4 linked regions of the Lonchura striata genome follow. The protein of the gene in region 3 purifies or fractionates together with the protein of the main gene of each other region. This does not show direct contact. Links are inferred from orthologs where the notes say so. Each region holds a gene or a part of one and is shown on either strand. Other genes may lie near its edges. The genes, in order: TNKS1BP1, TWF1, CAPZA2 and MTCL1.

Evidence for each region.
Region 1: the proteins of CAPZA2 (region 3) and TNKS1BP1 purify together in Homo sapiens (affinity purification with mass spectrometry; 4 studies listed by BioGRID and IntAct, counting the BioPlex papers as one, with this or other methods). This does not show direct contact. The link is inferred for Lonchura striata from reciprocal best matches to the Homo sapiens genes CAPZA2 and TNKS1BP1.
Region 2: the proteins of CAPZA2 (region 3) and TWF1 purify together in Homo sapiens (affinity purification with mass spectrometry; 3 studies listed by BioGRID and IntAct, with this or other methods). This does not show direct contact. The link is inferred for Lonchura striata from reciprocal best matches to the Homo sapiens genes CAPZA2 and TWF1.
Region 4: the proteins of CAPZA2 (region 3) and MTCL1 purify together in Homo sapiens (affinity purification with mass spectrometry; 3 studies listed by BioGRID and IntAct, counting the BioPlex papers as one, with this or other methods). This does not show direct contact. The link is inferred for Lonchura striata from reciprocal best matches to the Homo sapiens genes CAPZA2 and MTCL1.

Annotation. Positions count from the first base shown.
Region 1 is NC_134608.1:53,173,509-53,180,420, forward strand, and holds the start of TNKS1BP1 (182 kDa tankyrase-1-binding protein), read right to left. Parts: upstream 3,003-6,912; 5' UTR 2,979-3,002; intron 2,725-2,978; 5' UTR 2,684-2,724; coding exon 2,590-2,683; intron 2,457-2,589; coding exon 1,832-2,456; intron 1,154-1,831; coding exon 1,081-1,153; intron 321-1,080; coding exon 1-320. Other genes in the region: FACT complex subunit SSRP1, read right to left, coding at 4,868-4,936, 5,193-5,373, 5,486-5,577, 5,809-5,979, 6,338-6,461.
Region 2 is NC_134607.1:39,397,510-39,405,153, reverse strand, and holds the start of TWF1 (twinfilin-1), read left to right. Parts: upstream 1-4,634; 5' UTR 4,635-4,696; coding exon 4,697-4,721; intron 4,722-7,644. UniProt on the Homo sapiens protein: Actin-binding protein involved in motile and morphological processes. Inhibits actin polymerization, likely by sequestering G-actin. By capping the barbed ends of filaments, it also regulates motility.
Region 3 is NC_134607.1:34,494,500-34,502,159, forward strand, and holds the start of CAPZA2 (F-actin-capping protein subunit alpha-2), read right to left. Parts: upstream 3,011-7,660; 5' UTR 2,224-3,010; coding exon 2,122-2,223; intron 1-2,121. UniProt on the Homo sapiens protein: F-actin-capping proteins bind in a Ca(2+)-independent manner to the fast growing ends of actin filaments (barbed end) thereby blocking the exchange of subunits at these ends.
Region 4 is NC_134603.1:51,366,817-51,374,115, forward strand, and holds the start of MTCL1 (microtubule cross-linking factor 1), read left to right. Parts: upstream 1-4,282; 5' UTR 4,283-4,437; intron 4,438-7,299. UniProt on the Homo sapiens protein: Microtubule-associated factor involved in the late phase of epithelial polarization and microtubule dynamics regulation.

The sequences.
Region 1 (6,912 bases), on a different chromosome or scaffold from region 3:
CCAGGGGATCCTTCCCCTGGAGTGTGTGGGGAGCCAGGGGAATGGGAGACACTGAGCTGGGGTTCAGTGGCCGAGGGAGCGCCCGGGGCCTGGGTGGAAGTGACAGGGACCTCGACTGGAGGCTGAGTGAGGGATTTGGGGGAGCCAGGGGGCAGTGTGGGGGAGTCTGGGGCCAGGAGCTCAGCAGGAGCATCAGGGGAGCCAGGGGCTGGGGCAGAGGGCTCAGCAGACTGGAAAGGAGCTCCTGGGGCTGGGGCTGGGCAGGTGGGAGGCCTTGGGGAGCCTGGAGGTCCGAGGGCACCCAGCTGTAGAGTGGAAAGCTGTAGAAAAAGCCAGCAGGGGGTCATATCACTCAAGAGGCCCCTCCAAATATCATCCATCCAAAAGCCAGTCCCCCAAACCTTGGAGGGTCCCTCCCTCCAGCCTCACTCCCCTCCCTGCACCCGGGGCAGGAAGTGCCCATGCTGCGTGCCAGAACCAGGCTGCTCCTGGGTGACTCAGCCAGGGCGGCTCCTGGTGCCCCAGCCCCGCTCCCTGCCCAGCCCCTTGTTGCCCCCAGAGCGCCTGGACAGACGGAGACAAGAAATGAAATAGGAAGAAGTCAGAACCCCCAGCACAGCCCCCTGCCCTGCCCGTGGCTGGCATCCCCCTGCCCAGCACTGCTGGGGTTTGCCCCCTCAGTGGGGTGACCCGGTGCTGCTGCCCAGGCTGACACCCGCAGTGTCACCATGGCCCGGTGTCCTGGTCACTGCCCTGAGTGAGCACAGCAGTGAAAGGGGCTGGCGGGGTGCCCGTGGGGCCTGCCCTGCCACATACCTGCCAGGTCACAGAACCCCAGCTGGTGACTCACAGCTGCTCCCTGCCCATGCCTGGCACTGGTGTTGGCACACGCCACCCCCACACAGGACTTTTGGCACAGAGGGCCCTGAAAGCCCCCAGGAAGGGGCAGCCAGCGCCCCAAGGAGAAAGGAGAGACACGCACCCCGCAGAGAGGGAGCCCCGGAGGAGACAGGAGAGCCCCGAAGGAGAGAGCCCAGGAGCGGAGCCGCCATGGCGCCGGAGGGTGAGGCCAGCACTCACGTCAGGAGGGGATGGCGGCCTCCGGCGTCCACAGGGGTCCCCGGCACAGCTCAGCCCAGCTGGGGGGGAGCTGCTGCAGCGAGAGAAGGGGAAGGGGGGTAAATCTCACTGTGTGCCTCAGTGCTATTCTCCCACCACCCACGAGACAGCCCTGCCCCAAACCACCCTTCAAGGACTTGGGCCCTGCCACAGCTGCACAGTCTGCGGCTTGGACTGTGAGGGGAAGGAGGCAAAGTGGCCCCAGCTCCCCTTCCGGAAAGTTTTCGATCCTTTGGGAGCAAGTTTCTCACACTGCGTTTCAGAGCAGCCCCCCCCCCAGCTCTCCCTGAGGTGCCCAGCTCTTGGGATTGTGGCCAAGCCCTGGCCCTGGCCCAGGACATCCTGCAGCTGGAAGTCCTGCTGATCTGCTCCCTGTGCCCTGGCATGGCCCAGAACGGAAAAAATAGCAAGGCTGGAAAATCAGGAGCATTTCCCGGGGGAGCGACCCCCTGTCTGTCACTCCCAGCCAAGGGGCTGGCTCAGAGCCTGCCCACAGGCAGCTCCTGGCCTGGGACAGCCCATTCTGCGGTTGGCACCAGCCACCCCAGTCTTCCCACGGAGGCAGCTCGAGGCACTGCGGCTCAGGAGGAACCCGGGCCCCGTGCCGGTGACCAGACCTCAGCTCCGTTACATTCCCAAGCCTGGGATGGCTCAGAGTGATATTCCCTGTTCCCACTGCCACTCCTCCCAGCATCGGTCCCTGTGCCCTCACCTCATTTCAGCCACAGGGTGTCCGTCATCCCCCATTCCCAGCTCGCCTGCAGCAGCTCGGGGCATCTGGGGGGCTTCGCTTGCAGGGTCTCCGTCTGCCTCCCCGCTGGGACGCTTCCGGAAAGCAACAAAGGTCTTGGAGCCGAAGCGGGAGGAGGGGTCGGTGCAGAAGGGTGAGAGCCAAGCCCGGTCTGGGCTGCCTGGGCCCTCCCTGCTGTCCATCTTGGCCAGGATCTCCTCCACGGTGGTGCCCGGGAACCGCTCCGGCCTGGTGGCCACCGGCACCGGCGTCACCTTGAAGGGCACCGGGCCCTTGCGCGAGGGGGTTGGCGGGGCCGACGGCACCTCCTCCTCGGAGCCCGTGACCAGGGGCGACGAGAGCCCCTTCCCATTGGGGGTCTCGGGTGATCTGACAGTGAAGGAGGGGCGCCGGAGGGGCCCCCCCGTGGCTGCCCCGCTGTAGGGCTGGGGGCCGGCCAGGCGGTTCATCTTCTCTGCTGAGGGCAGCTCGGGCCGGGGGTGCCGCGGGCCCGGCGTGGGGGGCAGCACCGGGGGCTTGGCGGGCACGGCCGGCTTGGGCAGCACGTGGGGCTTGGGCCGCACCGGCGGCTTGGGGCGTGCGCTGCCTACAGAGAGCAAGGGAAGGGGACGGGGTCAGCGGAGTGGTGTGGCCCCCCCCCCCCCAAAATGGGAGCAGCCCTCAGGGGGCTGCCCCAGCAACCTCCCCCGCCCCAATGGCCCCCAGCCCGAGGTACCGACCTTTATCGGGGCTGCCGGCCAGCCCGGGCCCCCCGGTGGTGGCAGGGGGAGTGCAGGGCACGGTGGGGTGCAGGGGCTGCGGCTGGGAGGCCATGGCGACACAGGGATGTGGGGGGCACAGTGCAGGGTCAGCCCCTGGGGAGAGAGGGAGAATCGGTTTGGGGAGCGCCTCGAGCCTGGGGGAACCCAACCACCCTGTGGGGCCCTGTGCAAGCCCTGTCCAGCTGTGCCAAACGGTGATCACACCGTGGTGCCACCCTTAGTACATTGGCCCCGGCTCACCTGAGCCAACCTGGCCCCAGCAGCAGACCCAGACACGGCCCCAGCCCCCACCTATAACCACAGGGACCCCACACTACACCCCTGCCGCCACGGGGCCGCTCCTTTACCTGTCTGACCCTGCGCTAACCCGTCCCAGCACACACGTGTCACTCTCACCGACCTTCGCCAAGCCTCCAGCGCCCAGCTGGCCCCCAGTCTGCCCCAGTCCCCATCTCCGCTCCCTGCCCAGGTCACCCCCCGGCCCCCCCGAGCCCCCGGCAGCCCGGGAGGCACCGCCCGGTCCCCCGGGACCCTCGGCCAGCCCCTCTCAGGGGCCGCGGGTGCCCCACTCACCTTCCCCACTTCGGCCTCATGTCGGGGGCGGGCCGGGGACACACGTGGGGGGCGCAGAGCGGGCGGGGAGGAGGGGTTAGTGTCCCCACGGGTCTCACGCTGCTGCCGCCGCCTCTCCCGTGACTCACCGGGGCTGCGGGGACAGGAAAAACCCGCTCGGTGCCTCCTCCCGGCCCTGCCCTCTCTCCCCTGCCCTCCCCCCGCCGCCCTCCTCTCCCCGCCTCGCTGCCTCCTGCCCCGCCGGGGTCCACCCTCCCCACGACCCCCCTCCTCTCGCCTTCCACGGGGGAACCGCCACCACTACCCACATCTGGCAACCATCCGGCCCGTTTCCCGGCCCGGGATGGCGGCGGGGCCCCGGGATGCGGGTCCGGCCCCCCGGGGTCCTCCGCCAGCGCGGCCTAGCCTCGTTGCCGTGGCAACGGAGCCTGCGATCGAGTGGCTGAGCAGGCCGCGCCCGCGGCCTAGCGCCGTCCCCATGGCAACGAAGCCCCCCACTCAATTCGGGGGTCCCGGCCCGTGTTGCCCGCCGGGGCCGAAGCCGCGTGGTTCCCCGCGGGCGCCACGGGCCCGGGGGGATCCCGGTTACCTGCAGCCTCATGCCGGCAGAGACCCCCACTCACCCTCCACCGGCGCTGCTCATGCATATTCATGAGCGCCCCGGTCACGCCCCAGGGGCGGGGGGCGGGGCAGAGCGGCGCCGCGTGGCGGGCGGGCCGGGGAGCGCCCGAAATGGGGCTGGGGGCACACGCTGGAGACCTCCAGCACTCCCCGAACAATCGCCCTCGGGGGCCAACAGCCGAGCAGGACCCCCCCGCCTGCCAATGATCCCATTGCCGGGGTCCGCCAGCCGCGGGGCTGCTGCCTGAGGGGCGGTTTAGGTGTGACAATAGAGCCCTCCCACCATTTGGGCATCCAGGGTCCCTTGTGCCCACCGCGGAGCCGCCCCGCGGGGCTCCTGCTTCCCCGTAGCCCCATCCCAGCGGTGCCAGTAAAGGCAGCGGAAGGAGGGGGGAACAGGCAGCCATGAGGCCCCCCCGGGGCTGGTTCCAGACCGGGAATCGGCTGCAATCAACACCGGAGGGGAAACTGGCCTTAATCGGATCATCCCCCTCATGAGGGAGGTAGAAAAACCCCCAAATGGCATCAGGATCGAGCGAGGGGCTGTAATTAGGAGCCCTGATGGCTGAGCAGGGTCTGGGGGCCGCTAATGGAGGGTGGGGAGAGAGTGAAGTCAGCCCTGGAAGCTGTTCAAGGAGGGGAATGAGCTCCCGGATGGCTGCAGGAAGGAAGGAGGGATGGGGGAGCCAGCCCCACACCCACACAAACACCATCAGTGGGTTTTTTTTTTATTCAACCCGAGTTGCCATGTGAACGGACCCAAAATACAAAAAAACAACACCAAAAAAAACCAACGAGGGAAGGAAAGAAAAAGAGAGAAACCCAAGTGTTTAGAAAAAATAAATTGATGGGATACAAATGTGAGGGACTGAGGAGCCTCTGGCACCTCCTGCCACCACGGGGTGCATGGGAGGACAGGGGAACCTGGCCCTGCTCCCAGGTGGGAGCCATCCAGAGCCTGGGACCCCGGTCCCTGCCATGGGGCTGGCACGCCCAGTCCTCTCCCGACCTGGGATCCAGCCTGAAGCCAGCTGCGATGGCGCTAATCCGAGCCGGAGGCAGAGTCCTCTGAGCTGGGGGCTGGGCTGGCAGCTCCCTCATCCTCGGAGTCCTGCAGGCGGGGGACAAACAGGTCAGCAGGGGACAATGAAGGCAGGGCAGTATCCTTTGCTACAGCAGGCACAGGGTGATGGTGGTGACTTGGGGACACACCAAGGGATGTCCCCAAGGACATGAAGTACCAGAAGGACCCAGCCTCTCCAGCAGAATCCACCAGGATGTTCCTCAAGGAGGAGGGGCTGGGACCCTCCCAGAGAGTTGTTCCCCAGGGAAGAGGGACCAGGACCTTCCCCAGTTGTGACCCCCACCTCCTTCTTGCTCTCTGCAGAGGAGCTCTCATCACTGGATACGAATTCCTTGCTCTTGAAGCTGTCGCTCATGCCCTTAGCTGGGGACTTGGAGGATGAGGACTTGGAGGTGGCACCTTTCTTGTCCCCCTTCCCCTTCACCTGCTTCTCTTGCTTCTTCTTCTTCTTCTTTGACTTCTCCCTGCATGGGGTTGGGTGAGCAGAAGGCAGAGGAGCCACATTACTCAGCTGGTCCCGGGAACAGCTCGATTTTGGGGGGCAAAGCTCTGCCAGCCCCTTGCCAGCACACTCACCCCCTGTGGCTGTCGGCCTTGCTGCCCACACTGTATTCCTTCATGGCCTTCTCGTAGTCCCGCCTGGCATCTTCTGCCTTCCGATCCCACTCCTGCAGCCAGAGCATGGGCTCAGCGAGGCCCCCCTCCTCCTCTACCATCCTCCAGCACCCCGCCCTGCTCCCACTTCTGATCACCCAGCTCACCAGCCTGAGGATGTCCCCACCCTTTCCCAACTCCACATCTGTGCAACTCCAGGCTCACAGGAGCAAGGAAGGGTCTTCCATAGCCAGCCACCCCTCCTGTACCAGGCCCAGCTCTCTCCTGGGCTCCCCATCCCTCACCTCCTTCTTCTCTTTGGACATGGCCTTCCAGAGCTCCCCAGCCTTCTTGGACAGATCGGTGATGCTGATGCCAGGGTGGTCCGACTTGATTTTTTCCCGGTTGGCATTCAGCCAGAGCATGTAGGCTGACATTGGGCGCTTGGGAGCATTGGGGTCCTTCCCCTTCTTGCTCTGGGAGGTGGAGAACATGCGTGGAAGCCCAATGCACCCCTCACCCAACACCTTGGGACCAGGCTCTGCTCACCTCTGCACCCCCCAGCAATCCAGCTGCAGCCCTGGGAGAGGGCTGAAGGGACAGGCTGCTGGAGAACAGCCTGACAACAACCAGGATAGGCTGGGCATGGGAATAATGTGCCCTTGGGAGAGGCTCAGCCTGGACCCATCTGGAGGCAGCTACACCAGGCCAGACAACAGCTCTGACCAGGGCACTGGCAAGTGTGACAGAGGCTGAGGTGAGGCAGCTCAGGCGGGGCTGTGACCTGCCTGACGCCGCTCCAGGACTGGTCCTGCTCCCATAGCAGACCCTCACCTCCGGCTGCTTCTTGCGGGGCTTGCGGTCCTTGACGATCTTGGCCTTCTTGGCCGGTTTCTTGTCATCACGGTCGCTGTCGCCGTCACCGCTGGAGGAACTGGCCGAGGCGTTGCTGTCGAACCTGCACGGGGCCACCAGCCTCAGAGCTGCCCCCAGACACCACAGCCCTGAGCCTTCCCGGGCTGGAGCTGCTCTGCTCCCGTTAACAGCCCCCGGGGGAGCGGCCTTCCACGGACATGGCTCGTTGTGTTCTGCTTCCTGGACATTCGGAGCTCTCATGGTGCCAGGGCTCAGTTTCAAGCTCCCCCACAACTCCCACCCATCTTCACCCCAGCCTGGGGCTTTAACCCTCCTCCCAACTGTTCTCTTTCCTGAAAAGTACAGCCAAGGCCTCCCCTGAAGCCTTTCCAGAACTTTCTCATACGACCTAATGCCATTACAATGAAGCGAGCCCAGAACTGCCCCAGCTGCCCAACATTCCTAAACCCAGGGCTGTACACTCCCAAATCCAGGTGATCCCAGGCAAGTTTGAGCATCTCTCAATGCTCACACAGCCCTAGAACAGCACCTTC
Region 2 (7,644 bases), about 4.9 Mb from region 3:
CTGCACCCTCAGCAAGTTTGCAAACAACACGCTGAGTGGCGCAGTTGACTCCCAGTGAAACACATGAGGTCCAGTAAGGTCAAGTGAAAAGTCCTGTACCTGGGTTGGGGCAATCTCTGGAATCAATAAAGGCTGGAGGATTACTGGATTGAGTCCTGCTGAGAAGGACTTGAGGGTACCGGCGGATGAAAAGAAAATAGTAAAGAGCCAACAATGTCTGCTTGCAGCCCAGAAAACAAGCTGTACTCTGGGCTACTCTGGCTAGAAGTGTGGCCAGCAGGTTGAGGGAGGTGATTTTTACCCCTACTCAGCTCTGATGAGATTCCACCTGAAGCACTGCATCCATGTCTAGAGTCCTCAGCACAGGAAAGATGTGGAGCTGTTGAAGAGAATCCAGAGTAGGGTCATAAAAATAATCAGAGGGATAGAATACCTCTCTTATGAGAAAAAGCTGAGAGTGTTTGGGTTGTGGAGAAGACTTCTTCTTGCATTTTTTCAATACTGAAAGGGTGTTTATAGGAAAGGTGAGAACAGTCTTTTTGGGCCTGTAGTGAAAGGAAAAGGAATAATGGTTTAAACTAAAAGATAGTCGATTCAGACTAGATATAAAGAAGACATTTTCTACAGTGAGGGTGGTAAAACACTGGAAAAGATTATCCAGAGAGGCAGTAGATATGCCACTCCTGCTAACATTCAAGGTCAGGTTGGATGGTGCTCTGAGGAACTTGATATAGTTGAGGATGTTTCTGCTCTTTGCAGGAGGTTGGATTAGATGACCTTAAGGGTCCCTGCCAACCCAAAATATTCTATGATTCAATGTTACATCATAGCCATACATATCATGAAGAAACAGGCAGAAACTATGAGCTCAGAAAGGGTAGACAAAATGTCAAAGAAAATATAAGATAAATGACCAAAACGCTAAAATATTGATACTCCTAGGCTACAAAGGCCCAGAGACTCTGCAACACAAATTAAGAAAGGAAGTGACTTGGGACTTTGTCTTCAGCATCAAGTGCAAACAATGCCTTGGCCAGAGCTGCGTTTGCTTCCTCTGGAATTAGTTTGTACTAACTGTACCTTGTCAAAGAGGAACTGCCATCTCTAAAGTAATGGAAAACAAGATCAACAATTGCACAAATCATCAGTGCTGATGTTTGAGCTGATACTATTTTACAATGACTCAATGCACTCATCTAAAGTAAATAATAAAAGAAAGTGGAAATGGGCATGAAAGGAATGTTGCCCAGCATGTCTCTTTTGAGTTCACTAGGAAAATTACTGGATCCATACTAGTGCTGCACCAGTTTATAATCCTAGATCATCTGCCACTAAAAGCATTTCACAAACTTCCTACTAGTAGATCCTGTTTGTACCAAAGTCAGTGAGAAAATTCTTAATTATTTCAATAGGGTTATTGTATCCTTCACATAATGTTAGGAAAAACAGAAGGATAATCTCTAATTTTTGTAATATGCATTTTCACCTAATCATTGCATATGCCTTGGTATTATTTTTTATATATTTGTAATAACAGGAATATTTGAGTGAGGAAATATTTTAGAAAATTACTGCTTTCCAGAGTACTCAAAGCTACCTACCAGCTCATTAGATTCATGAAAACTTTAAATACTGCTCTGTGTTTAGACATGACTACTGGCCAGACAAGCAACCCCTGCAGGAGGTAATTAACGATCTTGGCAGATAAGATCTACTCTAAATCTAGACGGTATTGTGTTTGGTGGCTCTCTGCCAGGACTCACTAGCTTTCTAAAAGGGGTCCTTCTCCAGCCACCATGTGCTGGGTTGTCAGTATGATCATCCAAATGGAACTGAAACAATCCCAAGAATATTTTCTTTCTCTTGGAGTAAAAGCTAGCAAATCAAATGGAGTGGAAGGTAGAGTAGTCCTAGTTGACATGAAAACATACAAGGAGAGGCTGCTGTAAGACATACCTAGTCTCTTAAAAAAAAAGAAAAAAAAAAGGATATTTGAATTTTTTTTTTCTATCTTGACTTACAGATAAAAGTTTTACATGAATACAAATAGCACCTCCTGTTTGCCTTGGAGTTTTTTTCCTATACAAGATCTCCATTTTTAATATAAGTGTTATATAAGTGAAGTTTCTGTTTGGTGGCAGGAAGACTGTCTTCACTCTAGTTGAATGAAAATAGCAATATGCCTCCTGTTACTGCTTTGCTTTATCATCTTCGATCTTTATGGTCTGGATAGGAGTTTAATGATTTAGAGCAGTTTAGTAAGAATCTGAAGGACACTAAAATTTAGACCTTTAGGAATCTTCATTAGATATAAAAATCCCTACTAGCTTGTGTTAGTTTCAAAGCAACATCTCTTCTTGGTCACACATTAATCACTGTAATATAGGAAAATATATGTGATACTTTTTTTTTTTTAGATTTTAAAGAAAATATATTTGATGTTCAGTTTGTCTTTTTGCCAAAAAGGTGCTACAAAATGTCAATATGTACCAGTCTTGTTTAATATAAAACTGATGTTAGGATCACATTCCTACACTTCAGAGCCCTCAGACTGGTGGAAGCTGTAGTGGTATGACCTCAGACAGACAAATAAGACAATCTGAATATAGTGACAAATGTTATACCATTTTGATATTTCCAGTCTAGGAAATATCAAATTTCCACTGAAAAAAAACAGTTCCACAGTTTTAGCTATACATCCTTGTTACCACACTGTGACAGTAGTAGTGGTTCTAGGGACACATGACTAACTGGAGCAAGGAACTGATTGGTGTTTTCAGGCATCTGTCTATAAATGAAAACTTCTTTATCCCTCATATACTTTTCAGGCAACTTCATCCATTACAAGCACTAATTCCAAAACAGGAGAAACCCAAGAATTTAGGAACAAGCTTGGGACCAAATAATTTAAAGTAATTGCGATAGAACCACATCTTTTGTTGCCATTTTAATTGGATCTCTAGTACTCCTTTCCTCTTGAGAAAGTTCTCCTCCAAGAGTTTCTTTTTTGATATAATCCTGGTGCTCCTGGAGCCTTACAATAGAGGAACAAGAGCCAACCACTGAGTACCTGGTAGGTGCTACCTGTCTCTTATTTCCTGGTTTCACATGAACCCTTTTCCCTGTTTCTTTCAGCCTCCTTGCTAGAAGAAAGAAAAGCTGCAGCCTCTCTGTTTGCCCAGCTGCTGTTAGTGCCAGTTCATTAGCTGGTGACATGTCTCCACAGTGACTTTGTATTTGCTGGTCTAGCATTACACAGCACAGTTCACATAACAGTTACAGTGATGTTTCACATTTCCCAAATAGGACACTAAATCCCACATGTTCTTTAAACTAGGGATCTGACAAAGCACAGGCACACACATTTATCAACACAGCTGACTTCAAAAATTCCTGAGCTGCAGCATCCCGGAGGCTGAGAAGGTGAACCAGGGAAGGATTACCATGTGCCTGTCTTACTTTTCAATTCTTGCCTGGTCCATTGGGCTGGATATTTGATATGCCCTCTTATAGCACTTCTTGTGTTCTCTAGCTGAATAGCACCCCTAAAAATCTGCTAACTCCCAGGAATCTGAAGGAATCATCAGCATCAATGACTACAGCATGCACATTTTGTCTGTGAAGTCTTAATCTAGAACCACAGCACAGATTACAAATGCTAACCGCATGACAATGAAGGGGTTTTTAAAGAAGCTATAGTACCCATCTTTTTGTTGTTAAGATGATGGTGCTTCTCAACCCATGGATGAACCTGAAAAAGCTAGCAAAAGCAAATAAACCTTCAGAGCATGCTTAAATTCATAATGCAGGACTCTCCTTCACTGGAAACTTTGAAAGAAAAAGCTGAAGGAAACTATCAACACAGTTTGAAAAGGCATAAAGGAACCTTTGGCCATGCGGATAGGGTCCTGAGAAGCAGATGCACCCTTCCTAAGCATGGATCCATGCCCTGCCGAGGAAGACGAGTGTCTCAGTCACCAGATCCGCACTGAAAGAGAAGAAGTCTTCATTGTTTCTGTTGATACGGTGCCACCACGTACCACGTACTGCAAAATTAACAGAGAAAGACTGCCTTGTCAGAGGCAAGGGCTTGAACGGAGTGAGCCCTGGCTCTGGGCTCTGTTCCGACTTGTGGGCTCTTTGTTAGGGACTTTAATCCAAATTTCCAGTATATGCATGCAGCCTGCTGTCACACACACACCTGATGACTCCTGCGCTGCCCTAAGCGAGAGTGACAGGTCTCCATCATGGGCTTCTACAGATCAGCTAAATTCACCTCAGTTATTTTCCAGTACTTCGGTTAACAAGCAACCCGGGCCGCAGGGCACATGTCCCTTCCTGCGGGGCAGGACTGACAGCAGGCTTTGCGCCCGCGATGCCCGCGGCTCCGGGACAGCAGGTGAAGAGGGCGGCAAACAGGAGAGGGAGAGCAGAGGGTAGAGGAGAGGGGAAAGCAGCGCCCCGTCCCCGCTCCGGAGCGCCGAGAGGAGGCGCGGGGCAGCGGCGCGGGGCGGTGCCGGGCAGGGCCGGCCGCCCCGCAGCCCCCGGCCGGCGGGGCCCGGAAGGCGCCGCGCTCGCTCCCGGCCGCTGAGTGGCGGCGGCGCGTCACGTGCGCGCGGCCGGGCCGGGCCGGGCCGTGCCGGGCGGGCGGCGAGGGAGGGAGGGAGGGAGGCGGCGGTGCCGGGCGCGGTGCGACATGTCCCACCAGACCGGCATCCAAGGTACCCGCGCGGCTCCCCGCAGCTCCGCTCCGCGCTGCCCGCTGCTCCTCATGACAGCCGGCCCCGTCTCCGCCGTGGTCCTGCCGGGCGGGCGGGCGGAGCGCCTTTCTCCGCGGGTCGGGGCGCGGCGCTGAGCGGGCCGTTCCCGGCGGGATTTTCCCACTCCTGCGCTCTTTGTTTGCTGCCGGAGGAGCCCGTCCTTTGCGCCGGGCGAGCGACCGGGGGAACTGCCGCTGGTTTCGTCCCCGGCGGCCACGGCTCCGGGGTCGAACCCCTAGCGCCGTTCCCATTCGGGTGAAGCATGCAGGGCTTATCGGCCCAGCGAAGCGCGCCTGTCCGCCCCGGGGAGGCAGGGAGCCCGCCCGGGGCAAGTGTTCGCTGCAGAGCCCCATGGATGGCGGGCACGGCCCGCCTGGGCTCAGGTCGCTCCCGGTGCAGTTTTCCTGCGGTGGCGGAGGCAGCGTCGAGCCGGGGGCTGTCGCCTGCTCGGGGTCGCCGTACCGAGTTTGGGATGGGTCGGACAGCACGGGAAATGCGGGGATCGCTGCTGGGTCCGTCGGAGCGAGAGCTCTGGGGAGGAGCAGGAGCCCTGGCGTAGGAGGGTCCGCTATAAAGCCCATCACTGGAGAGAGGCCACAAAGGGGGAAAGTATGTGGGAACCTGTTTTCCCGTGCTTCCAGGCCTTGGACGGTGCGAGGAGCAATTAGAAGGAGACAGTATTGTTTCGCAGTATTAGCGGGTTCCCCTGAATCACAGAATTGCTAAGCAGGGATTATATAGCAGGATTATGGAGGGCTCGGGTTTTACTGTCTGGATTTCTGCAATCTCCGTGTTCGGTGACTAGTACCATGTACTTTGCCTGCTCTCCGGTATTTATTGTTGAAGGTGACTTTTGTCCCAGCACGGCAGCCCTTAGCTGCTCTTCTATGCCCTTTTTTGTCTATTAGCTGCATATGGTTTGCACTCTTTCCCCTCTCTTCCTTCCTTTGCATGCCAATCTTTGATCTTTTTTTGCAGCTTGTTGTTTTAAGTTCTTCAACCACTCTCAGGCTAGAGGTGCACCTGGAATGGCTTTAATTTTCCAGTCTGGGGAAACCTGTTAGTAAATCATAATCCCTTGTTCTCCTGGCAATGCTGGCAGGGAGGAGCAGAATACTCTGTTGTAAGCAAAAGAATGGCTAATCCTCTTCTGCAGCTCTGCTTCGTTTCTGAGAATCATTTGTCCTCGGAGGAGAGCTGTAGAGAACTCGGCAGCTTTCCTTTGGGAACCTGCCTCAGCAGGCACTCATCAGGAGTCCTGTTTGCAGCAATGCATCAGCCCTTGCCATTTGGAAGAGGAGTAGCTCTACTTGTGCCATTGCTGGCTTTAGCTACAAACAGGCTACTGTCACTCATAAACAATTACAATATTTGGCAGCATGGGCTGCTTTTTTCTGGAAACAAATGAAGTCATGGGCACAGTGATGTGTACCAGGCAGTTGCTAAAAGGACTGGACTTTTTAAACAGGCCAGTGCAGAAGAACACTGTAGGAAGTTACAGAATGCAGTAACTAGGGTGAAATACAATTGAATGAGTTTACAGTCCTCTAAATAATTTTAAAATAATATGCCCTGCAAAATAGTTGTGAAATAAGCCCAGATTTTGATTCGGTGGCCCTCTGCTATGCAGAAAGTTTAAACAGAAAATAATATAATTTTTGTGATTTTAAATACCTTCATGATGAAAAAAAAAACATAAATCACTTGATAGTGAGCTGGTTTCGTAAGTGTCTCTAAATATTTTTTCAGGAAACAGTTCTGGAATTGGTATAGAGACATGCTGTATTCTGTTCTTGTTTTGGTGTGTAGTGTTGAAATGAGATAATAAGGAACAAAAGGATAATAGACAAGAAGAGGACAAAGAATATTCTGGGGCAACAAAAAGTCTAGAAAATGGCACAATGTTTGGTTGCTCAGTGGAATGGTGAAGACCAACAGAGATGATTAGAAAAGCTGTCAGCAAATTACTGTGACGGTCTGCACTGGTTAGTGGGAAGAAGACAGCTGGGATGAAACTGGGGTTGAACTGGAAACCAAATGCAATTCAGTTTGCTTAACATGTTCTTTTAACATGCCATTTTGGACTCTCAGAATGGGCCTGGCGCCACTTGGACAAACATAAATGTAAAATGTTGTGAGTATGGGCAGTAATGTTGCTGGATACCATCTGTTCATTTGGCCTCAACCTGACTATAAATAATCTATTTTATTAGTTTCCTGGTTTGATGTTTGTTTTGCTGGTACTGTGCTCTATCCTATGGGATTACTTAAAGGACCAGCTTGCAATAAATGTTTCTCAGTAAATCCTTACACTCTCAGTCTCTGGTATAATTAAACCAATTTGCACTCAGATTATTTAGCAGAGCAGTTAAGATAACAATAGTCTTCACGCCAGTCAAGAGCACTTCTTCAGTGTGCTTACGGAAGTGAGTCTGTCATGTTGGTGGTATAGTGTCAATGTGATTTACAAGCATGTAAAAATATTTTAGTTACATTGTAAATTCACTATAAAGCTATCTTGTTACAGTAGGTTGGGGCTTGAACAATGTCCTCGACCATAGAAGGAGATAAGGAGGTATGAACGATGAGCAATGAGTGGTAGCTTTCACTGGTATGCTGCAGAGAGGTGCTCTCAGGAAAGACCATCACTTCAGCCAGACAAGCTCTAACATTTTCCTGGCAGGCGTAACGTTTCTGTCTGAAAGTTTGTACTAAGCCTGCAGACTTCTTAAAGCTTTTGTAATTTGAGATGCGTCATATTTTTATTGTGTTGCTGTGTTAACTCTGAAACATGAGATTGATGATATGATGTCACCTGTAATTTTCACAATGTTGAAAATCATTTGGTATGCTAGAAAGCAGGGCTGTTTTGTAATGTTGCCTT
Region 3 (7,660 bases):
AAAATGTCCTGGGAGAGCACTTAGCTGCCTCATTGGCAGTGTTGAACCTTCATGAGATCCCAAGTGACCAGCCCAGGCAGCTTTCAGATCATTAACAGAACACAACTATTCAGAGCTGGATAATGGAAAAGTTGTCAGTTCCCAACTTTCTAACCTAAATGTTGCATTTTGGATTGCAGGCAGCATTTGTCTGCTTCCTCAAGTACCTACCATCTCCTCTTTACTCCTACCAACTCCTCTTCCATGTAAACATGAATTTGCATTATACTGAGATAAATGCCACAAAGTTCACTCTTCAAAAAAGACACAGAGAGGCAAGAGGACCTTCTTCTATGGCTGCTTATTAAAGCAACTTAGATCAGCTCCTTTGAATTAGAAGAATGCAAACTTATCTGCGTTACACACATTATCTTAATCACCAATCCCCACACTCCTGGTACCTCTTGCTGAAGTCAAGGCACCACACACAGCTCAATGCTCAAGCCAAAGCAATATAAAGAATGCAAAACAAAGCTAACCTATATATTATTAAAGCACTTACAAAGAACAAGGGTAAGACAGGCTCCAAGGTTCTATCACCAGTGCATTTTATCAAATGACCAATAATGCTGCTTTTGGTTGGGGCAGAACTAATTCTCGTAACAGTTGCTGGTAGAAGACTGTGTTTTGGATTTGTGCTGAACACAGTGTTGATCACAGCTGTTTGTGCTGCTGCTGAGCAGGGCTTACACAGCCAAGGCCTTTTCTGCTGTTCATACTGACACACTGGCAAGGAAGCTGGGGGTGTGTGGGAGACTGGGAGGACACACAGCCAGAGCAGGTGACCCTGACTGACCAAGGGATATTCCACACCACACCAAATCATACCCAGTATATAAAGTGGGGGAAGAAGGAGGAAGGGTGGGAGATTTTTGGAGTGATGACATTTGACTTCCCAAGTCACCATTACATGTTATGGGGGACTCTGTTCTCCTACAGATGGCTGAATAGCTGCCTGCCCATGGGAAATACTGAATTAATTCCCTATTTAGCTTTGCTTGCATGCACAACTTTTGCTTTCCTTCTTAAATTATATTTACCTCAACCCATGAGTTTTCCTACTTTTACCCTTCCAATTCTCTCCCCAATCCCACTGGTGGGGCACTGACTGAGTGGCTGTGTGGGGCTTAGTGGCATGCCTGGGGTTAAACCATTACACCAATTAATAGGGTCCTGGATCAGCCCTGAAAAGCGAGTATTTAGTTGTGTGATTTCAGCATGACTATCAGTGGGCTGACTCCCAGCTCAAGATGAAGGAACAGCATTTCTTGATTCATTGACTTCATGTGAACAGGACTGCTTACCCCTGCCAAGGCCAGGTTAGCTCTGGGCAAGCAGAGAAACAAGACTTATAGACATCTGGAGTTGTGAAATAACAGGTCCATAAGTTTTAGGCAGGCAGCAGCTATAGAAGCAAAATTAAGCAAAACATGGGTGCCCAAACTGCACCCTGAATGGCCACATGCTTTAAACTGGTAACACCTGTAAGGTGAGACATTGGGTCTATACTAAAACTGGAGCACTACCTCATTTTCAGCTGTTTTGGTAATATAGATCTGGTTTTGCTTATTTTTTTCACTATCAGTAAAAACGATTCTTATAAAATTAGCTACACTATAAGTAATATTAATTCAAAAGCATTCAGATGTCCTCACGACAGACCAACCTAGACATTACTTTTTACAAACATTTTACAAGTAAATTAAATTTCTCACTGATAGTTTTTTGTGTGAAAATTCATCATAGATGAAACATTTTATAGAACAGATAGACAATCATGCACATTTGCAATGAATACCTCATCAAGTATAAAGTATATTCATGTTTACAAAAGCAAAAAAATCTAATGTGTTTTCAGAAGTTGAGAGTGTATCAGCTAAGACACTGTATTTTGCTAACCTGCCTTTGTAAAGCCAATTTAAAAGTAATCCCATTTTCCTTCAGCAGTTAAACTGAATTAACTTCTCTGTGATGAGTATCTGATAAAGCCATTATTTCCCCAATTCATACATACAGAAAGCCCATATAAAAGAATTAAATCCAGTAGTCTCACTTAACACATTAGAATTGAAAAGCAGTTACAGATATATTGCCACTGAATTTTTGCAGAAATAAATGCTCTAAAGGAGGCTTCTGTTTTTCAAACCCAGACTGATACTGAAGGATAAATGAATGTACCTCCATAAGCCTCTATGAGATTAAGATCTCCCCCTTTTGGCAGCAAAAAGCCTCAGCTATCACTTGGGAAAGCACAATTAAAACAAAGGGGCACTCTGTATAAAATATGATGTTCACAGGCAACTAAAAAAAGATAAATTAAAAATGCACATAACCTGTAATATAAAGTGACAAGCAAAAAGTTAAACTGCTCTTTAGTCAAACTGAGATAGGAAGTTGTATCTGCTGAAAATAATTTTAAGAAAACCGATCAGGTGCATTTACAACCAATGCTGATTATTCAATGCGCCGAGGTGTCTAAAAATTGATTTGAGCAAGCCAAAACAGAAACATCATAATATCTTAAGAATCCAAACGACAAAACGTTTTTCCATTCAAGAGTACTTCACCCTTACACATAGTACAAGAAACTTAGGTATGTATCAGCAAGTAACAAAAAATTGCTACAGTTGAGTCTTCCTTTAGAAAACTCGAAGACATAAAACACCTGAAGTTTCTCCACTTATTACTGTAGTTACTCCCAAAACACTACCTAAAGTTTAAGATAGTGTTTTATTGATGTAGATTTGAGTCAGTTTTCAGCTTCAGGTCTTCAGAGTAGCAAGGAACTATAAACTTCAGACTTCACTAACCCAGAACATCTGATCACCAATGGTTTACTTCCACAATTCAAGTGAAGTCAAATGCTACCCCATTACATCAGTTAAAAGTTTATCAAATCTACAAGCATATTGATTTTATAAAGTAAACTATGTCAATTAAGGTAAAAATTCGTACAGAGAAGCCTAGCAAAAGAGAAAAGGACAGGATTGATGTATGTGATGAATATTAGGCATTATGCCTAATTCTTTATTCTGCTAGGGATTAAAACAGTTGGTCTAGCAACAAATTCCTACACTCAGTTACAACAATATTTGTAGTTTTCAGACTACCCTAGCAAAGAGCAACGTAGTAATGTATAGAATAGTGGCAGTTATTCTAAATCTATTTTTTTCCATACTTCTGCCTTTACTTCACAATTTAATTTTTCTCAATGCATGATACCCATCAGGTACATGAGAGAAATCCTACTCTATCTTTTCCAGCCTAAGACATTCTGAAGTTTATTTTATTTTTAAGAAGTTATAGATAGTGGCTTCAAATGCTCCGAGATCACTCTTCCTGTTCCTGCCACATGAGAAGTGACACTGGTTGGAGAAGCCCGACCTTGTGTGCTGTATGTGCCTATATATGGTCAAGGAGAAGTGTTCCCACTGCAGGGCTTCTCAGTGCCACTGTCAGCCCTGCCAAGGCAGCTCACTCCTTGGACTCTGCTAGGGTGCATCTAACAGTAACAGAGACATTAAAACTCTCCCTCTTTCATTTTTCTTTCCCCCTTTTTAACTCAACTGAAGGACAGGTATTTCAGAGTTTTGTTTGTTAGGCACCCTGACAGCTCACTCCTTCAATCAACATCCATGCTGCACAGAAAAAACATGCTGATAAGTAGGATACTGTGAAACCATATACTCACCCTTATTCTTTCCTATATATCCCCTATTTCAAATTCAGAAATTCAGCTGTGAACTCGTTGCAGGAGGGAGACCCACCCCTTCCTTTACACTCCTAATAGGTTAAAGTTCACTGCTCCACAGCAGTAAAAATGAAATAGTGAAATAGATACTAAAAACCCCTTTTTACCTAAGAGAAAGTAAGAAGAGAGAGGGCATGCAAAAGATTCCCACAATAATTCCCACTCAAAGACAACTTTGTTGTTAATCACAGGGGAATAAAAATAGCTTCTCAAAGTTACTTTTATTACTGTTACAGCAGGCTCAAAGCATTGTATATCATGCATTTGCATTCAGGATTCCTGAGGGTACCCTAGCTATCTTACAGCATACAATAAATCTCCCACTCAGAGAAACCTGTGTTTGGCAAAAAAAAGATACTGAGATATCACATCACATCTCTCTCTAGCAGAGACTAGAGAGCTCTGCTCTCAGTCATGCCTTCTGTATAGTTCTTGTTAAAAACCTGTCTGCAGGCAACTAAACAAATGGGTTTGTCCTGTCCCAATTAAATTAGCTACAGGGTTTTCTCACAATTAGCTCATAGTCACATAAATAAATATTAACACAGACATCAGTTAAATGAGGCAAATTTGTATTCTCTCAAGTCTGTAAGTCACACTCAAATTAAGCGATACAGACTGTACTCACTGAAGTGATACTGGACATAACACTTACCTAGTTTTACTTAGTTCTGAGTTTCATTCAAACAAACTTGTGATTTGAGTTCAGCTTGAGCTGTAACATTATTTTTCAATATGCAGCTTTATTTTTCCTTATAAAGCAAAACTTCTCTGACATCTACCACTCGAAATGAATTTTGCATTGACAATAAAACACATCAAGGAGCACAGTCTAAGGTTCAAATATTTGCAGGATACAATGTTTGGTGCTGTAGCCAAACATCAACATAGTTTTTGACTTTGTAAACCTTTTGGTGTTTCAAGAAAATGTAACTGGCTTCCCCTTTGGAGAGCCAGATATTCGGTAGTACTGGCTCCAATTGCTCATTAAATCTTTAGGTTAGATACTTCCCAGAATGTTACACCACTATTTTTACAAACTCCTATGTATCATCAGTGCTCATCTATTTCTGTGAGTATTCAGACAAGCAAATTGATCTAGCTAAAGGAAGGTGGCAAGAAGATAACAACCAATTTAGCTAAAAAAGAGCTTTAAATAATTATTATTGCTTCCTGCTGTTGACAGTTTAGTGAGGCTAAAAAGCCTTCAAACAGCTGGACAAGCTCCGAGAATTAAACTGTGAGAAAGTAATTACCCCATGTCAGCAGCAAACTGCCTTCACTGTATCTCATAAACCTCACCATACCCACAGGTATAACTTCAAACAGCAAAACAGCATCCCAAAACATGCATCATTTCACATAAACATGGAACAAAGGCAACGACTCTGGTAGAGAGGGAATGAATATAAATGTAGTGCTGCAACTGCCTTCCTACCAAGCTCAACTGAAAATTCACTGCAGTAACCAGTTCACTTCTGCTTCTAGAAGAGCTAAGGAAAAACACTGTAAAAATGTGGTTCTGTGGCACAGGAAAGGAGGGGCACATTCCATACCTATGGCTTTGATTGAACAGACATTTCCTTAACTGTAATGCCTAAAGCTACACTGCATCTGGAGAACATGTGTTTGCCCCAAATGTTTTCAATACACAAGTATTTAAGAATATGTAACGGTACCAGCCCTTCACAGTGCTGCAAAAAATAAATCTTACACAATGTGTGATAATTTAGCTTCATTCTTACCTGATGATCTGACTTCAATAATGAGATCTATTTTCACAAAAATAACCACTTTGAAAGGTGGTGGATGCTTCACTGTAGGACCTTTCAGCGGAAGAGTATCTAAATATCATAAAAGTCTCTATCTTAAAATCACTTTACACACCACATCATATTAGGAAAATTTTAAAAAACCCAAACTCCTGTAAGTTGGTGCGTCAGCCACAGATAGCAAAAAAGAATATGAAAGCAAAGGATGTTATTTGAGTAATACACAAGACTAACCATAAAAAAGTAAGAGAAGACGAATCTCCCCCATGTTATTCTGTAGTTATTCTTATTACTCCTAAGCATATAAAATTGGAAACCTTTTATTATATAGATATTTATACACAGCTATTTATATATATTTTTATAATGTATGTATTTCTATACAACTATTTATAATTATATATATATATATACACAATTGTAGTCAAGCAACTGCATACTTAAGCTTATGGACCAGACAGACAACAGATAAACAACATAAAAAAAATTACTTCCTTGCAAAAAAATTATTTCCTTGCTGTCATTCACTGAAAAAGTAGTAAAATTTTACATTTCATGAAAAGCAGAAGCATTAAGTTTTATTTGAGATGTACATGGTAAAAGAAATTACTAACTAAGACTTCACAAAGAAACCAACAGTGTCATCTCCACATAAAAATCCAAGATGTCCTGTTACACGGACATGAACACACATGATCCTCAGTTGCAGCATCAAGGCCTCTCTTTCTCATCAGTCTTTACAAAGTGGTATCCACCGTAAGCTAAAAAGCACTTGGTCCATATTTGCAAAATATTCTTCTACTACAAAGCCCAAGCTTTTAAAGTGATTCTTCTTCCTACACTGAGATACTCCAAGGACATTAAGCCCACAGATTCAATAGCTGTGGCGAGAGAAAAGGAACGTAACAGACCTTGCTGAAAATGGATAGAATATGATACCACTGTAACTGTTGTCTGCCCCTGCCAATTCCAGCGTCTTACAATTCTCTCTCTAAGTTACCTATTCAAGGTTTTAATGCCTTCTGTCAAGCTAAGAAAGTACTGGAAGTATTTTACATTTCAGAAATTTGTTACTCAAGGATTAAAAAAGTTAATTGCTGCATGCTCAAAAGCCTGCTTTCATTTCTCAACAAGCACTTTAAACTCCTTTACATCCCACTTCCAGAGCCTGAAAATGAATAGTATACAGGGCTGTAAAAAATATATGGGTTTGCTAAATAATACAGCTAAAACCCTTTTCCTGTTCCTTTTTGACTGCCATAATTGAAACCAACTGAAAATAGAATTTCACAGCAGAACTGCAGGTTGAAGACTATTGGTAGAAGGTAGAACCATACCTATTATATCATAAAGTAATGTCTCCAGTTTCATCTCTGTATTTGCCAATAACTTGTCCTATTACTCTATTTTTGCTTCAATTTGTTTCTCTTATCTACTTGAGCTATGAGGTTTCCTAGGTAGCAAGCTTCTGCAAGAAGTTTTGAGAGTACAAAGACAGCAAGAAGGAGACCTGATGGTCCTCAGGCGCCACTACATTATCAATACCCAATACTCCTCAACATGGTAGAAGTCAAAATTCCCACAGGGTACCTGATTTCTTCAAACTAGTACTAAGGAAAAATATATGACCTGAAATCTTAGAAATCACTGATCTTTTATTTATAATAACAGGTTTCATTTGTATTCAAGCTGCAAGTAATTACTTTTCACTTGTCAAAACGACAAACAATTTGCTTTGCACAGTAATTCACTATGGAGGTACATGGTAAAAGACAAGCAGCACTGTACATAAGTTGCAACAATCATAAATTAGGATAAGTTTTTGACTGTGGGCTTAGACAAACCTTGCAACACCTCACCCAGAGGTACAGTCTCAGTTCCTAGAGACACCCAAAACTCAAAGGGCAAGTTCCTAAGCAACCTTATCTAAGCCAGCCCATTCTGACTAACCAGCATTTAAGTTTTTGACTGTGGGCTTAGACAAACCTTGCAACACCTCACCCAGAGGTACAGTCTCAGTTCCTAGAGACACCCAAAACTCAAAGGGCAAGTTCCTAAGCAACCTTATCTAAGCCAGCCCATTCTGACTAACCAGCAT
Region 4 (7,299 bases), on a different chromosome or scaffold from region 3:
ATTAAATGCCTTATACAGCCAGTACAGCATAAAGGGATCTTGATGTGACTGATCATTCGTCTCCCTCTAATGTGTTCTGCTTGCAGCACGTTTTCAGTGCCACAGCCCGACTTTGAGCATTAATGCGAATAAATCACTTTATTAAGGTACCTGGATGAACTGGTGCTGCTTGGGACAGCGAACATTACTGTATGTTTCAATGAGAAGAAGGTGCACAGAACACAAAGATACACAGTTTACGGAGGTATCAACTCTCCAGTCTCCTTTCCAATCTGAGGTCACCCTGCCTTGTCATGGGCTTTTCATTAATCTCAGTCTCTATTTGTCAAGGGCAACTCCTCAGAAGTCAGGATGAGTTTCAGTCCTCTTTGCCTGCAGGAGCTTGTGGTTGGTGATGCACTGTGATACAAAGGACAGTTTTAAAACTAAAACATTTACCAATTTAAATGAAGTATTTAGTGGGGGAGAAAAAGGTAGGTGAGATAGAAAAAAATATATTTATTCATGTTTTTGCAATGTAAAATTTACAAGATAACCACAGGAAACTGGGCTCTGTCAGGCACTTAAGTGTCTCAGATTAATTCTCCCAGACAATTCCCAGCCTTTTGTGAATGTACTCCTTTTTTCACATCCCTAATTCTTTTCCCCTCCAGTGCAAAGAAGCCTGGCAGTGTCCCTCAGCTATTGTTTGTAGAAAAGTGGCTTATCTTGAGCCATACTTTTCCTTTCATTTTCCTTTTGAATTGAACCATTCTGTTCATGGGGCAAAGTCAAAACAGGCTACTCATAAATTATCACAGAGCAGTTCCCCTTCCATCACAGACATAAACACTTTGCAAATCTAGGACGTGAAGCTGGAATTCCCATCTATTCTTGGAATTTAGAGCCAAAACCAAGTGAGCGTGGTGACAGTAGTGCAAAAAAACCTTTCTGATATCTCCCATGTAGGGCAACATCTCTAGTATTTAGTGCTTCCATAATAATTATTGTTTCTCATTATGAAATGCAGCACTTTCCATCTCTTTCACTCTGTTTCACATTCTCATAAAGGAAAATTCCTTGAACTGCTTGGCAGTGTACTGACAAAAAAATTTTCATAATTTAAAAAAAAACCCCAAAAATAGAACTAGGAGCAAAACACTGTAGGGAACACTGATAATATGTGGTGGCCTGATAGAAATGTCTTTAAAATGTAACAGTAGTTTGTATTTTATAAGTCATTTTTCTAGATCAACTGAGCCACTTCATAGTACTTCTATAGAAGTGATAGACAGTGATTGTCTCACCCAAACAAGTAAATTACTAATGTTTTACCTGGAGGGAGAATAAGGGGACTTATACCTGTGAATGGGTTTGCTGTGTTTGACTCTCCTCAACGTGTTTTCTATATTTTTTAAAGGACTTGGCCCCACGAAGTCCTGCTGGTAGCTGTAGTAGATGTACATACCGGCAGCATCCAGTGCCATCATTGCCACAATAGGTACTTTGGTACTTTGCCGTGTGACCTGGAAGGCACATTTGGATGCGGGAACATAGCCGTCTGGCAGCGAGGCCAACGGTGGAAACTAAACAGCACTAACAGAAATGGAATTTTCAAGAGATCAAAAAAAACCCACCCAACACAGCCTGGCATCACTGCTGGGTGCCCCGGAGCAGAGCTTTCATCGTTTGCCCACTCGCGGAAGGACCACACCGCCCTGTCGAGGAGATTTGTCCTGCGGGGACGGGGAGGGACCTAGCCTCGCCCTCCGCTGCCGCTCCAAGCGCCGGCTTTCTCCCGGGGCTGGAGCCGCCCTCGCCCCCTGCCCCGCCGGCATCCCGCTCATCTCCGCTCTCCTGGCTGGCGCTGCCCATGCCCGGGGCTCTGTCGTGGAACTGCTCACAATTCCTAGAGACCTGTAAATACAGCTCTGATTTGGATGGTTTTTTTCACCTTTGCAGCCTTTACAAAGTAAGGACTACCTGTTGCATACTCATGCGGTAGCGCTATTCCGCAGGATAAATCAGTGTTCACTTCGTTTACCGGGAGAAAGGAGCCGGGGATGCCCGGGCGGTCCGGTCCTGTTTCTTCCCTGGGCAACGCGACCTGGCCCCAGCACCGGCCTGGCACTGTCAGAAACAGCTGCCCGCCCTGGCCACCCGCCCCGCGGTGCCTTTGCCCTCAGGCTCCAGCAGACCTTGGGCTTTTGCCTTTAGGGGTAATGCCTTGAGCCCAGATGAGCGGGGGATGTGGAGCGCCGCAGGGTGCTGCCACCATCCCATCCCCCCTAAAACGTCTGGGACTGTCCTCCCCCGAGCGCGCTGCAGTCCCTGACATCCAGACGTGGATGATCCGCGCCACCCAAGGACTTCAGAACCTAAGCACGCGTTTACTTTCGTCTGACAAGATAAGGCAGCCACCGCGGCTACTGCAAGGTCCGCTGTGTCCCAGCGGAAGAATCGGAAACATCCCGGCTGGAGAGCCTTTGCTCTCCCCATTAAGGCTGTGCACTTTTCCCACGCCCGAGCCTCTCCTCCCTTTCATTTATTCTCCGGGTGCTTTGCAAACGTAAGAGCTGCAATTTCATATCCTCGTACTCCAAAAAGACGTGTCCGTGCCTTTTGTAGTTCAGCCAGAGCCAGGAACTTGCTGATATCCTCGGATACTCGGCTCCGCCTCTAGGTGAACCTGTATCTGCCTTGAGCAGGGAGATAATGCGGTGGCTGTTGTTTTGCTGCTGCCAGTCCCTGGAGAGAGCATTTCCATGAAGTCTTAGCTCGGGGGGAAAAAAAATCCAAAACAACCAAAACTGACAACGCTATATAGCTCATGACCGAGAAATCAAAATTTCTCCCTAAAATTACTGATAGGAAAAGGCTGGCAGAGGCGTCCCTATAATAAAGCGTGCGAGGAAAGTAGTTTGCGGGGCGGGAGGAGAGCTGCCTGGCTGGTTGACAGAGGGGGCGGATCCTGCGCACGGGCGGGCAGCGCCGAGTCGGAGCGGCCCCGGCAGCCGCGGGGCTATTTCAGGAGCCGGGCGGAGGCGGCGGCTGGAGCCGGGGCAGTGATGGGGTTAGCGGCGCCGGTGGGCTGAGCGGGGGACTTGCAAGTGGAGGCGAAGGCAACCGGGAAAACACGCCTTTGCCTCGGATTGGGTGGGAAACGGATCGGTTTTTTGGGCTGCATCACAACTTGAGCAGCATCAAGCTGAGCCAGGCGGAGAGGGGAGCGGGAGGGGAAGAAGAAGGAGGAGGAGGAGGAGGAGGAGGAGAAGGAGGAGACGGCTGCCACCGGGGGATTTGGGCTCGATTTATTGAAACAAATCAGTGCTCGGGAGAGAGCGGCGAGGAGGAGGAGAAGGTGGGGGTGGGGGGGCAGGAAGAGGGGGATCGAGAAAGAAAAGTGTGAGGGCTGTGGCTGGGAGAAGCAGAAGTGATGAGAGAGCGAGCAGGGAGGCTGGAGGAGGCTGCCCGTCCTGCCGCCGCGCCCCGCGGGGACCGCCGCTCCTGCCGCCGCCGGGCGGCCCCGCGGCCGCCGCTGCCGCCCCGCCGCCCCCGGCCCGCGCCATGGAGGCGCTGAACGGCCCCGGCCCGGGGCCCGGCGACGCGCTGCGGCCGCCGCCGCCTTCGCCCGGCCACCACCACCCGCACGCCGAGAAGAAGCGGCCGCACCGCGCCCCGTCGCCCGCCAGACCCTTCCTCAAGGACCTGCACGCCCGCGCCGCCGCCAAGCCTCCGCCCGCGCCCCCCAAGTCCCCCGGGCTCCCCGCCCGGGCGCCCTCGTCGCCGCACCCGGGCGCCCACCAGCCCTCCGCGGGGCTCCTGGCGGCGCCGGGCCGCCTCTCCCGCCGCCCCGCCGCCCCGGGGGGCAAGGCGGCCGCCGCCGCCGTCACCGCCGTCGGCAGGGCGGGCGCCAAGGCCGCCCCCTGCGCCAAGCGGGCGGCCCGCGGTCCGGAGCCGGGGCCCGGCGGCCGGGGCGCGGGGCGGCAGCCCGGCGGGGAGGCGGCCCCGCCGCCCGGCAAGGGCAGGAAGGCGAAGCGGGGAGCCGCGGCGGGCAGCGGCCATGCGGCGGCGGCGCTGGCCCGCGTCGGCCACACGGACAGCAGCTCCGACCTCTCCGACTGCCCCTCCGAGCCGCTCTCCGACGAGCAGCGCCTGGCCCCGGCCGCCAGCAGCGACGCCGAGTCCGGCACCGGCTCCAGCGACCGCGAGCGGGAGCCGCCCGCCGCTCATCCCGCCGCTCATCCCGGCGTTCATCCCGCCGCCGAGCAGCCCCGCGCCGGCCACGGCCCTGGCCCCGGGCGCGGAGCTGCGCCGGCCCCCGGCTTCCGCGGGGATGTGCTACCCGCGGCCACGGGCGGGGGGCGAGCCCCGAGCCGCGGGGAGCCGCCGCCGGCGGCCCCGGAGGAGCTGCAGCGGGAGGTGGAGGAGCTGCGCTCGGAGAACGAGTACCTCAAGGTGAGCATCGCCCGCGGAGCTCGGCCTCGGCGGGGAAGGGAAGGGCGGGAGGCGGCCGCGGTAGAAACGCGGCCCCCTCCTGCCCAGGAACGTGGGGACAGCGCGTGGAAGTAGGGGAAGAATATTCGCGCTGCCTGGAGTCACCTCCCATGGGACCCCCGCGCCCGCTGGTCCAAATGCCAAATTTTACCTGCAGGAGGGAAATAGGGGCAGGGAGAGCCAGCCGGGTGCCTCGGCCCCCTCCTTCCCCGCCCCCACGAAGCGGGACCCGGCACGGCTTAAGGGACTTAAGCGTATGATCGCGGCCCCCTGCAAAGCCCGGTTTGTGGGCGCTGGATGAACGTCAGTCCGATGCAACATGTACCGTGGCAATGTTGCGTTTGGTTGACGTGGTGGTAGCTCAGCAAACCCCGACTCTTTCTAAAGCACTGCAAACATTCTACTGGTTAGCAGAACTTTGCTTTCCAGGAACTGATTTCCTCAGTGTCACCCTTTAGGAAAAGGCAAAGGAACAGGTTCCCTCATTTGATGTGGAAAGGATGACAGCATTATGTGCTCTGCTTATTGCGTTACTTTATCTCTGGAAAGTGAAGCCACTCGCTGTGCAGTACTAAGAGAACAACAAGAGCAGCAAGAAAAAAAGTGTCATTGCATCCTTGTACAGGATATCAGTATGAATCCATCCTCGGAGAAACAGGAAAGCTAAATTCAGGCAATCTCTGAGCTGGGTTGACCTGTGGGAACCTTTAGTTGGACTTGTACTTACAATCTGATCTTTTGGCAGAGCAAAGAAGCTACATCCATAAAGATCTATAAATAAGATAAACTGAGATAATCCTGTAACCACAACCACTGTTTGGCTCTACCTCTGGTGAAAACAATCTTTGTTCCCCGATATTGGGAACACCCTGTTGTCAAGCAAAAGAACCATATAAATCCATGTAGATCTAGCATTCTTTCTCAAATAAGAGTGGGAGTTTTATGTATAGCCTTGGGAAAGAAGAGTGATAAAGATACAAGCTAGGCTCGTTAAGGGGTTTTGGCTAAGTTACACGAAACAATATTCAGCATAGCAAAAGGGTAACAGCAGGGGTGCTGCAAGGTTCTTTGCCAGGTCTGGTGCTGCTTAGTGAACTGGAAAAAGGAACAAGCCATGATACAGCAAAATTTTCAGAAGACATTAAATGTTTCTAGCTTAAGTAAAGTCTGGCAAAGATAGAACTTAATAACAAAGTTAACCCCTGAGGAATGTGTGAAAAATGGAGGCAGAGGATGGTAAATAAATCCTAATATGCAAAATCTTAAGTACTTGGAGGGAATAAGTATGCACTTTTCTGTTTAAATGTGTTAACTCAGGAGCGTAATGAGAAAAGGAGAAAGGAAAATCTGCAAAAATGGTTAGATTACAGCGGGAACTGAACAGAGACTAACTAAAAAAATCTGGCAATATTTTATAAAACTGTAGTTGTTACACAGGTCAGTGAGTGTACCTGAAATACTGTGGGCACTGCTGGTCATCTAGAAAAGGAAAATACAAAACCAGACCAATAAAAATTATTGGCTCATAGAAAAGCTTTTATAGCACTCATTGGATGGGAAACTCGAGTGTGGTAAGGATATGTAATAGTCTATAAAAAGATGAGCAGCACAGAGAACCTTTATCACAAGCTTCTGTTTTATTTGACAGCCTAGAAGCAAGAGGAGATGTAATGAAATCAGAATTGATAATGGGAATCACTTAAGGAGTAGCTAACTGGCACTGCCATTAGAAGTCATGAAGTCCAAGAGCATCTCTTTGCATTACAGGATTTGAACAAGTATATGAGTGTTATATAATTAAACCCATTACAAAGTATATGTCAAGTTCTCTTTATACTGAAGGTGATTTTTAACTATGGGAAACTGGCAAAAAAAAAAAAAAAAAAAAAAAAAAGAGCGTGTCAGAATTGCCCAGGACAGACCCTTGTTAGTGTGTCCCACCTGAGGAGCCCTGTAATCATGCGACCTAGTTGGCAATGGCAAGTCTTAGGTAAAGAACTTTATTATCTTCATTCCAAATTTTTCACCCTGTGCAACAATGCCCTCAGATCTTTCACCTTGATATCTTAATCATCTACAGCATTTGTTTCCTCACACTTTTTTTGATTCAGATTGTGACTTTATCACGTTCAAAATATTCCTGAGTCTCGGAGGATAATACAGACTGGTTTCTTCGGTGGGCATGTCCTGATGCCTGTAAAGCCATGAACTAATACCATTGCCTCTTCTGAGGGAAATGAGTACATTTTCTGCTTTGCTTGGCCACCTTGGTGTGTGAGGTCTTAATTCTGCTTCTCTCTCAAAATGGTTGGAAACGGCCCAGTGGTGCAAAAATTTTATCAGAATTCCCAATTCTCATTTGCCTCTCCTAGGAAAACCTATAAAAAAGTCTGCAAATTAAAACCACATCACTGTCTGAGTTGTTTACTTGTGGGTTTGTTCCATGTGTTTTTTACAATGCAGTTCTCTTGGTTGGCATTGGAGTGAGCTGTGTTTCTCCAGAGGGGGCTAAGGGAAAACAGGGATGCTGTCAACTGTAAATAGACAAATTATTAGATAAATCCCAGAAGAAACTGTTAATTTCCTGAGCATGGCCACAAGCCAAATTTTGTGGGTTTCACTCCTCCTTATCCCTCCCTGCAGCTGGAGTGCAGGCCTAAGTGCACATAATAAAGTCTTTTTCAGGGAATTTTATCTTTCAGGTAGGAAGGTCTTTCATGTATCTTTCATGTGTCTGTAACAGGTTATCGAAGATACACACACAGATACTTAGTGCTAAAGATTACTAGAGATTAAAGTGTTTTCAGAAAGAAAAAAAACCAA